Linked DNA regions of Rattus norvegicus. Each later gene encodes a partner of the first gene's protein in a complex. Links are inferred from orthologs where the notes say so. Each region holds a gene or a part of one and is shown in the gene's direction. Other genes may lie near its edges. The genes, in order: Gipc1 and Plxnd1.

Evidence for each region.
Region 2: the proteins of Gipc1 (region 1) and Plxnd1 are in contact, whole or in part, in a crystal structure (PDB 5V6T), measured with the Mus musculus proteins. The link is inferred for Rattus norvegicus from reciprocal best matches to the Homo sapiens genes GIPC1 and PLXND1. Residues at the interface, in NP_061241.1 of Mus musculus: His61, Glu141, Ala142, Leu143, Gly144, Leu145, Thr146, Ile147, Thr148, Asp149, Asn150, Gly151, Phe156, Lys158, Arg159, Arg190, His191, Tyr192, Glu193, Ala195, Arg196, Leu198, Lys199; in NP_080652.2 of Mus musculus: Glu1400, Met1889, Glu1893, Arg1899, Gln1902, Gln1904, His1905, Glu1908, Ile1918, Tyr1919, Cys1921, Tyr1922, Ser1923, Glu1924, Ala1925.

Annotation. Positions count from the first base shown.
Region 1 is NC_086037.1:41,380,840-41,385,148, reverse strand, and holds the start of Gipc1 (PDZ domain-containing protein GIPC1), read left to right. Parts: upstream 1-1,206; 5' UTR 1,207-1,244; coding exon 1,245-1,532; intron 1,533-2,223; coding exon 2,224-2,409; intron 2,410-2,503; coding exon 2,504-2,684; intron 2,685-3,321; coding exon 3,322-3,434; intron 3,435-4,166; coding exon 4,167-4,248; intron 4,249-4,309. UniProt on the Homo sapiens protein: May be involved in G protein-linked signaling.
Region 2 is NC_086022.1:150,698,106-150,701,910, reverse strand, and holds part of Plxnd1 (plexin-D1), read left to right. Parts: intron 1-569; coding exon 570-746; intron 747-2,798; coding exon 2,799-2,930; intron 2,931-3,118; coding exon 3,119-3,219; intron 3,220-3,302; coding exon 3,303-3,432; intron 3,433-3,805. UniProt on the Homo sapiens protein: Cell surface receptor for SEMA4A and for class 3 semaphorins, such as SEMA3A, SEMA3C and SEMA3E. Plays an important role in cell-cell signaling, and in regulating the migration of a wide spectrum of cell types.

The DNA of each region.
Region 1 (4,309 bases):
AGCTCTGTAAGATGCTCTTACAAGGGCATCTTTCCTCATGGTTTTTTGTTTGTTTGTTTGTTTGTTTTTTTCTTTTACATAAACCAGACCCAAACTTGGGTTTTGCACAGAGCATTAATGACTGCAACTGATAGAAAATGAAAAGACACTGTGTCTGGTGGTTTCCATCTGCTCCAACACTGCAAGATGAACAGAGGTAGAGTTGGTGAGTTCTAGGCCAGCCTGGACGACAGAGTGAGAGCCTTCTCAGAGAAATGGAAAGTAAAGGGCCATCCAGCATTTTATCTTCCCTTCAGTTGTCTGCTCCAGTGGGTGTGGTCAGGGCAGGATGCACCAACGGCCTCATGCCTCATCCAGAAGGAGAATTGAACGAGGTCACAGAGCAGCGGGTGTGGGGTTGTAATGGGTATCTCTGTGGGGATTATTACTGTGCAGTGCGAGGCTTCATTCTGATGCTGGGATGAGACCGGGTCCTCATTAGCACGTGCTCCACCACTGAGCTGCACCCCAGCATCGGAGCTATCTGGAGTCACCTCTCTTCGTTCACATCAGCTCTGGGTGCCCAGATTGAATCCACTGTATACAGAAAATACTTGGGTGAGGCAGATGTCCTGCTATTTCCCTGTAATCCCATCCACTCTGCAGTCTGAAGCAGGAGGATTGCAAGTTCAAGGACAGCTGAGCAACTGAGAGATAACTGCCTCACACTAAAAAGTAAGAGGCAGTCTAGACTTGTAGCTTGGGTCCACATGCACAAGGCCAAAATGGCCGATTCGGAGAGAGCCTTGTACCTATGCTGACCATGGACAGAATCTTGTGTTGTTACTCTTCAGACAATACAGCGGAAGAAGAGTTTGCATAGCTTTAAATGTGTACAGCAGATTCCACTGTACGGGAGGAGCTGCAGCTCTGTGGACAAGCGCCAGCCAAGCAGGGGCGATGAAAGCCTCAGCAGAACGCAAACGCAACACAACGTTATATAGGCCGCAATGTGCTGGAGGTGTCCTGGCTCCCTGTGCTTGGGAGCCTGAGTCACGTGATCAGACACGGTGGGGTTCGGTGGTGGAGCACTTGACTAGCACCAGGCCCCTGGGTTAAGAAACATTGCTTCGCAAAATAGAACCATGTTGGTTGATGTCGATACCATGTGGTGGTGATGGATGGCACCCAAGGCTGGTACTCAGAGAGTGAAGCCCGATTCCCTTTCGCAGGTCTCCCGGCCAAGTCCCCACTTCTGGCTGCTCATGCCACTGGGACTGGGGCGAAGGAAAAAAGCACCACCTCTGGTGGAAAATGAGGAGGCGGAGCCAAGCCGGAGTGGGCTGGGCGTCGGGGAGCCCGGGCCCCTGGGTGGAAGTGGAGCAGGGGAATCCCAGATGGGTTTGCCCCCACCTCCTGCTTCCCTCCGGCCTCGCCTCGTGTTCCATACCCAGCTGGCCCACGGCAGCCCCACGGGCCGCATCGAGGGCTTCACTAATGTCAAGGAGCTGTACGGCAAGATCGCTGAGGCCTTCCGACTACCGGCTGCTGAGGTACCAGTGGGACCACGGTCCCTTAAGAGCAAGCCACAGGCCTGGGCATGTATTCCTGTGAGCTGGGGCTCGTGTTCCTTGCTGGCCAGCAGCCCCTGAACCTAGGAGGCGTGGCTACAGGAGGATACTGAGTTCCTATGAGGCCTTGAGAGACTTGTACCCTAGTAGGTATGGGGGGGGTTTCCCAACGGGCCTTACGAGGCTCGTAATCTAGTAAATTGTGGGTCTGCAGATACTGATTTCCCATCAGGTCTGAAGTAGCCTGTGTCCTGGAGGATGACAGCCACAGGTGGCAGCTGGGTTTCCAAGGCATTGGGAAGCTTGTGCCCCAAATACTGTGGGACCTCAAGAGGGGGAGGGAGGGTGTTAGGAGCAGCTTCTATTTCTCCAGGGTGCCCTGGAGGCATGACTCCAAGCTAGAAGCTGAGAAGCCACTGGGAGGGCAACAGTGGGACTGAGATTCAAGTGGAGATGGGTAGGAAGGCTGGGTGGGAGTCTAGACCCCCTTCACCCCTCAGTAAGTATCGAGTGATCTCTGTATGTCAAGCTAGCTCTTGAGCTTTTACCAGGACAGAAATCCTGCTCATAGCATTTGATGTGCCAGTGGACCTCTCCTTGGCTTTGGGTGTTACCAGTCCCTGGGATAGGGGACCCAGGGAGGAAGGATGAGCATCTTGCCCCACCTCTGCAGGTGATGTTCTGTACCCTCAACACCCATAAAGTGGATATGGACAAGCTGCTGGGGGGCCAGATCGGGCTGGAGGACTTCATCTTTGCCCATGTCAAGGGGCAGCGCAAAGAGGTGGAAGTATTCAAGTCTGAGGATGCTCTGGGGCTCACCATCACCGACAACGGGGCCGGCTATGCCTTCATTAAGGTGCCCGGGTGGGTGGCACACCCTTAGTCAGTGGCCAGGGTCTTTAATGGGACCTAGAGTGGAGCTTCCAGGGTTGATGCCTGCCCCTCCACAGCGCATCAAGGAAGGCAGTGTGATTGACCACATCCAGCTCATCAGCGTGGGTGACATGATTGAAGCCATCAACGGGCAGAGCCTGCTGGGCTGTCGGCATTATGAGGTTGCCAGGCTCCTCAAAGAGCTGCCCCGAGGCCGCACCTTCACCCTCAAACTCACCGAACCTCGGAAGGCGTTTGGTGAGCCATTCTTGCAACCTGGACCACCCACCGGGCTGACCTTGAGCTCTTAAGAAATACAGATTGTAGTCCTGGGAACCACCAGCAGGTGGCACTCAAGCCTGCAGTGCAGAGTGGGGGCAGCCCCACCCTACCCTAGAACTGAGTGCTGGCTGACAGCCCAGCCAGAAGGAAGTCGCCCCCACACCCGACTTCCAGGAGCCATTAGCCCAGCCGAGTGCCCCCAACCCTGGCCAGCCCCCTCAGCCTGGAGAAGTGAGGCTTGGCTGCCTTGTATGGCTCCTGTGCCCGGCGCCCCCCCCCCCCCCCCGTTTCTACCTGGCTTCACTAACTCTCAGGAATGGGCCTGAGGCACCCCTGATGTGGGTAGAAAGGGCTTATCTGAGACTCAGCAGTTACACTCACCCTTCTCAACCCTCACTCCTTCAAATAGAAGCTACCTTCCATTCTCTCTCCAGCTGCTTTTATGTCTGGCCCCTAGCTGCCCCTCACCATCCATGCAAAGTCCTGCCTTGCTGGAACCCAGTCCCTACCCAAGGAGCCTGCAGAACTTTGAAGGTGGTGGGAGGTGGTTGTGTGAAGCCTGCGTACTGTGTTACCGTGGGCTGATTTTCCCCACTACCTTTGCCTTCTACAGATATGATCAGCCAGCGTTCATCAGGTGGTCACCCTGGCTCAGGCCCACAACTGGGCACTGGCCGAGGGACCCTCCGGCTCCGATCCCGGGGCCCTGCCACAGTGGAGGATCTGGTGAGTGAGCCCCCCGGGCCGGTGACACCATTCTAATTATGTGAAAGGCTCAGGACACCTCTCTCTGCCTAAGCCTACTCTTACCAGCTCTGGGACCTACGGTGGTCCATCGGGCAGCCTGGGGTCTCCTCCCTGTCCAGTAGGTTCAGTGACTTCTTGTCAGAGCAGACATTAGCGATGTAAACAAAAAGGGCTGCCAGCACGGAATTTCTGGCAGGAGGATTTCACATTCGCTCAAACCGTAAGACCTTGTCACCAGGTTCTTATATGAAAATAGATGAAAGGCAGCCCAGTGTAGATACGTACCCATAATCCTCTCCAGGCTACTGGATAGGAGTTAAGTGTTCAAAGCCAGTTTGGGCAACTTAGAATATGTCTGGGTATGAGAATGGTAATTTCTGGATGTTGGGACTGAAGAGATGGGCTTAGCAGTTTATAGGAGGTGTGGCTCTTGCAGACCACACAGGTCAGTTCCAAGTGCCCATGACGGGTGGCCATCTCTTAACTCCAGTCCAGAGGTCCAGTGTTCTCTTCTGACCTCCACAGACACCAGGCAGACACATAGGACACACAGATATGTGCAGACAAAAGGATCCTCTACATTAAATAAGTAACAGCGGCAGCCACACCAGTGGGTGCATGCAGCTCACCACTGGAGCTGATGCCTGCATGCTGTCCCCAGCACTGACATCTGTTGACATTACTGTACTGTCTTGTCCCCACCCTCTACAGCCGTCAGCTTTTGAGGAAAAGGCCATTGAAAAGGTGGATGACTTGCTAGAGAGCTACATGGGGATCAGAGACACAGAGCTGGGTGAGTGGGGCACCCGTGCCTGGAAGGTGGGAGCAGGCTTCCAGGTCCCACCCAGGCGGAG
Region 2 (3,805 bases), on another chromosome or scaffold:
AATGATGTGACCAGGTATGTGTCTGTGCTGTATTGCTCAGGCTGGGTTGAAATTCCCAGGGTCAGGTGACTCTCCTGTCTCAGCTTCCTCAGTGTCTGGGCCTAAAAGTGTGTACCCCTGTACGTTTAGTCTCTTAAAAGCCAAACTGGGGGCTGGGGATTTAGCTCAGTGGTAGAGCGCTTACCTAGGAAGCGCAAGGCCCTGGGTTCGATCCCCAGCTCCGAAAAAAAAAAAAAAAGAACCAAAAAAAAAAAAAAAAAAAAAAAAAGCCAAACTGGCCAGACCCTTGGCCAGCATGTCTTGCCTTCCTTCCTCCCTTCATCCCTTTCTCCCTCCCTCCATCCCCCCCCCACACCCAGTCTTGTCCCCATACATCTTAAACACCAGCCATCTCCTAGGAGTAGCTGTGTCATCCAAGGTCAAGGCTTGACCCGAGTAGCATCTGGAGATCTATTTAGCCGGGCCTCCGCTGGGAGCAGGGGTGTTCAAGCAGGGTCTGAGAGCTGAGATCCGCCTGTGTGGACAGGCAGGGAGCCAGAGAAGGTTCTAGAGCTGCCTTGTCCCCACAGCTGCAGCCGGAGCAGCTGGACTGTGGAGCAGCCCACCTTCAGCACCCACTGACCATCCTGCAGCCACTGAGGGCATCGCCGGTGTTCCGTGCTCCAGGGCTCACGGCCGTGGCTGTGGCCAATGCTAACAACTACACAGCTGTCTTTCTGGGCACTGCCACGGGGAGGCTCCTCAAGGTAAGCATGCGGGACTGGAGCTCCCTGGGGTGGGCCACAGAGGGCCAGAGTCACTCTGCCTTCTTCAGTTTTCCCTCTAGGCCTCCCCAGTGGCTTGTGACGAGGGAAGGAAGTGGCCTGAGTGATGTCTGCCTCTGCTTTCGGCATCTCCCAGCCTGGGGCTCCGCAGACAGCGTCTTCACCTTTGCTGTGTACTTGCTCCCTCAGGGCCTCTGTTTCCCTTCTGGCTGCAGTTGTTGGGGGACTTCAATGAGGGACACAACAGCCCTGCTGGCTATCACCTCAGGGGTCCAGTGTTTGGATTAACCATGAGGTCTATCACCTTGCAAGTCCCAGAGCTAAGGGAGGGCAAGGAGCTTCTCCTCTTACCTCAGAGCAGACTGAACACCCCTGTCCACCACCTCTCCACTTCTCTGTGGGGAAAGTCAGTCTTCCAGCCAGGCCCAGCCTAATTGACTCAAGAGTCCATAATTTAATTCCCTTTGGCAGCTGCCTGGGTCGGGGTGGGGTGGGGCTTGGGCCCCACAGGTCTGGAACTACCTGTGGTGCCTAGGGAGAGCACAGGGCCCCACGCCTGCCTGCCGGTTACTCAGCTTCAGCTCACCAGGGTTCGGCTGTGTGGTCAGATGACTGGTTTCTGCCTTTAAGTGTTACTACTCGACGACGTGTGACCTGAGGACATAGCTTGTCTCCCTGTCCAGTGAGGGAATGAGCAGAGCAGCACTGTGGTCAGAGCCCTCTCCCCTTCTACCCATAAAGTTGCAGCCATTAGGCACCTACTGTTTACACAGTGTCTCAGGGTACTTCACAGGCTTCACCTAGTTCTTTAGCTCTCACATCAAGCCAAGGATTCTATTCCACAGAAGCAGGCCGCCGAGGTCCTCTGTGAGAGGCGACTACCCCCAGAGTGACCAGATAGCTAGAAATGGGGTCGTTGCTTTTCACCTTCAGTTGATTTCTGTGTGCCATGCTTGGGGTCGAATACAGGGCCTTAGCGATGAGCAGGTTGGTGTCTCTCCTGCCAGCCCTCTCTCTATTTGGAACGTCTATCTTAACCCTCAGCTGGGGCCCCAGGACTCAGTGGACACTGAGGAAGTGGATATGACTTGGCATCTGTTTGGCGTCTGGGGTAGGCGGGTGTAGTGTGAGCCCCTGCTAGCATCCCAAGAGGCTTCCTGGCAACATCTCAGAGGGCAAGCCTGAGCCAGGAAGGACTTGGGGAGGGCACAGCGTTGACCTGGTACACCCCAGAATAAAAAGGATAGTGGTACTGTCAGGAAGATGTGTATCAAACGTGAGGCAGGCCTGGATGGGCAAGGCGTGTAATGTATAGACAGTGGGAGTAAAGTGAGAGCGAGGTAGGGGTGTGGCTAGAGGTGTGGCTAGGGGTGTGGCTAGGTAGATCATCAAGGCATCGAATGCCACAGCCAGTTTCTTCTGGTAGGGAACCTCTGCAGGTTTTAGAAACCCAGAGGAAGGTGAGTGGGCGGCCTCAAAGGTGTTTAGACCGCCAACTTTTATCCCCTGATTAACATCTTGGATACTTGGACACCCAGCCTGCGGAGACAGAGGAGAACACAGACCTTGGAGAGCCACGCAGAGGGGCCTGGGCCCTTGCCCAGGACTGCTGCTTGCCATCTCTCTTATCCCCACAGTTCTGCGGGACTATGCTCATCCTGACTCTTATTTACTAGGGAAACTGAGGCTCAGGGTGGGAAACAACTCATTTGGATTGTACATGAGTGCATGTCAGAAACAGAATCCAAGCCTTGCTAGTAGCCATGACAACCAGCAGCCTCCCAGAGAATGAATGGCTTGGCTACAGCCCACACAGATACCTGGGGGAAATGTTGGAGTCAAGCAGGAACGGAGTTCCTGGTGGGGGCGCTGTTGAGTCAGTGAGAATGAGAGTAAGTCCACCTAGGAGCCCCGTTTTCCCTTTCACCCTGGACCATCTGAGCAGGATGGGAGAGGAGACCCCAATCCTGGAGCAGCCTGACCTTGTGGGTGGCAGTCCTGGGCACCAGTAGGTGATGGCCTTTCCTTCTACAGATCAGCCTGAATGAGAGCATGCAGGTAGTAAGCCGGCGGGTGCTGACTGTGGCCTACGGGGAGCCCGTGCACCATGTCATGCAGTTTGACCCCATGGATCCTGGTTACCTGTACCTGATGACATCCCACCAGGTAAGGAACTGTGGCCAGCCATCGTTTGCACATGCTGACCCTCCTTCCCCACCTCCGTCTTTGCTGACTCATGTCTGGGACGTGATGCTTCAAGGCTACGTTTTCCCCACATACCCTCCAGACCTAGCTACCCTAGCCTTACAAGAGAGGGTGGCACCCTTGCTCAGCTGGGCTCCCTCTGCCTGCAGATGGCCCGAGTGAAGGTGGCGGCGTGTGAGGTACACTCCACCTGCGGGGACTGTGTGGGCGCGGCCGATGCCTACTGTGGCTGGTGTACTCTGGAGACCCGGTGAGGCCCTAAGGTGATGGCAGGGCAGGGAGGGCCAGTGGGTAGTGGCCCTGGCCTAGGACCTAACCCCATGGTGCCTGCAGGTGCACATTCAAGCAGGATTGTGCCAACTCCAGCCTGCCACATTTCTGGACCAGTGCCAGTGAGGGCCCCAGCCGCTGCCCTGCCATGACAGTACTGCCGTCTGAGATTGATGTGCACCGGGACTACACGGTGAGTGCAGCCACACCAGCATAAAGCCTGGGGGCCACAGCAGAGGCCAGGCACCATCTCCATGGCTGGGCCACTTCTTCAACATTCTGCCATGGACTCTTGCGGGACTAGTCAACAGTTAGGACCATGCAACCTGAGTACTTAGCAGTGCACAGAGGACTGCTGGCATTTAAGGGGCAGTCTCTGAATGTACTGACTGGAGACACCCAGATAGAGAACACACCCTTCTTGTCTTCCTCCTGGGAGTGTTAGCGGCCATCACTTAGCCCTGATACGGGACAGACAGGGGTGGTGGCTAGTGTCAGGAGAACCATGCCTGCCCGCAGCATGGTGGGTGGCCCAGCAGCCTGGATCCCTCCCAGCTCCCTCCTCA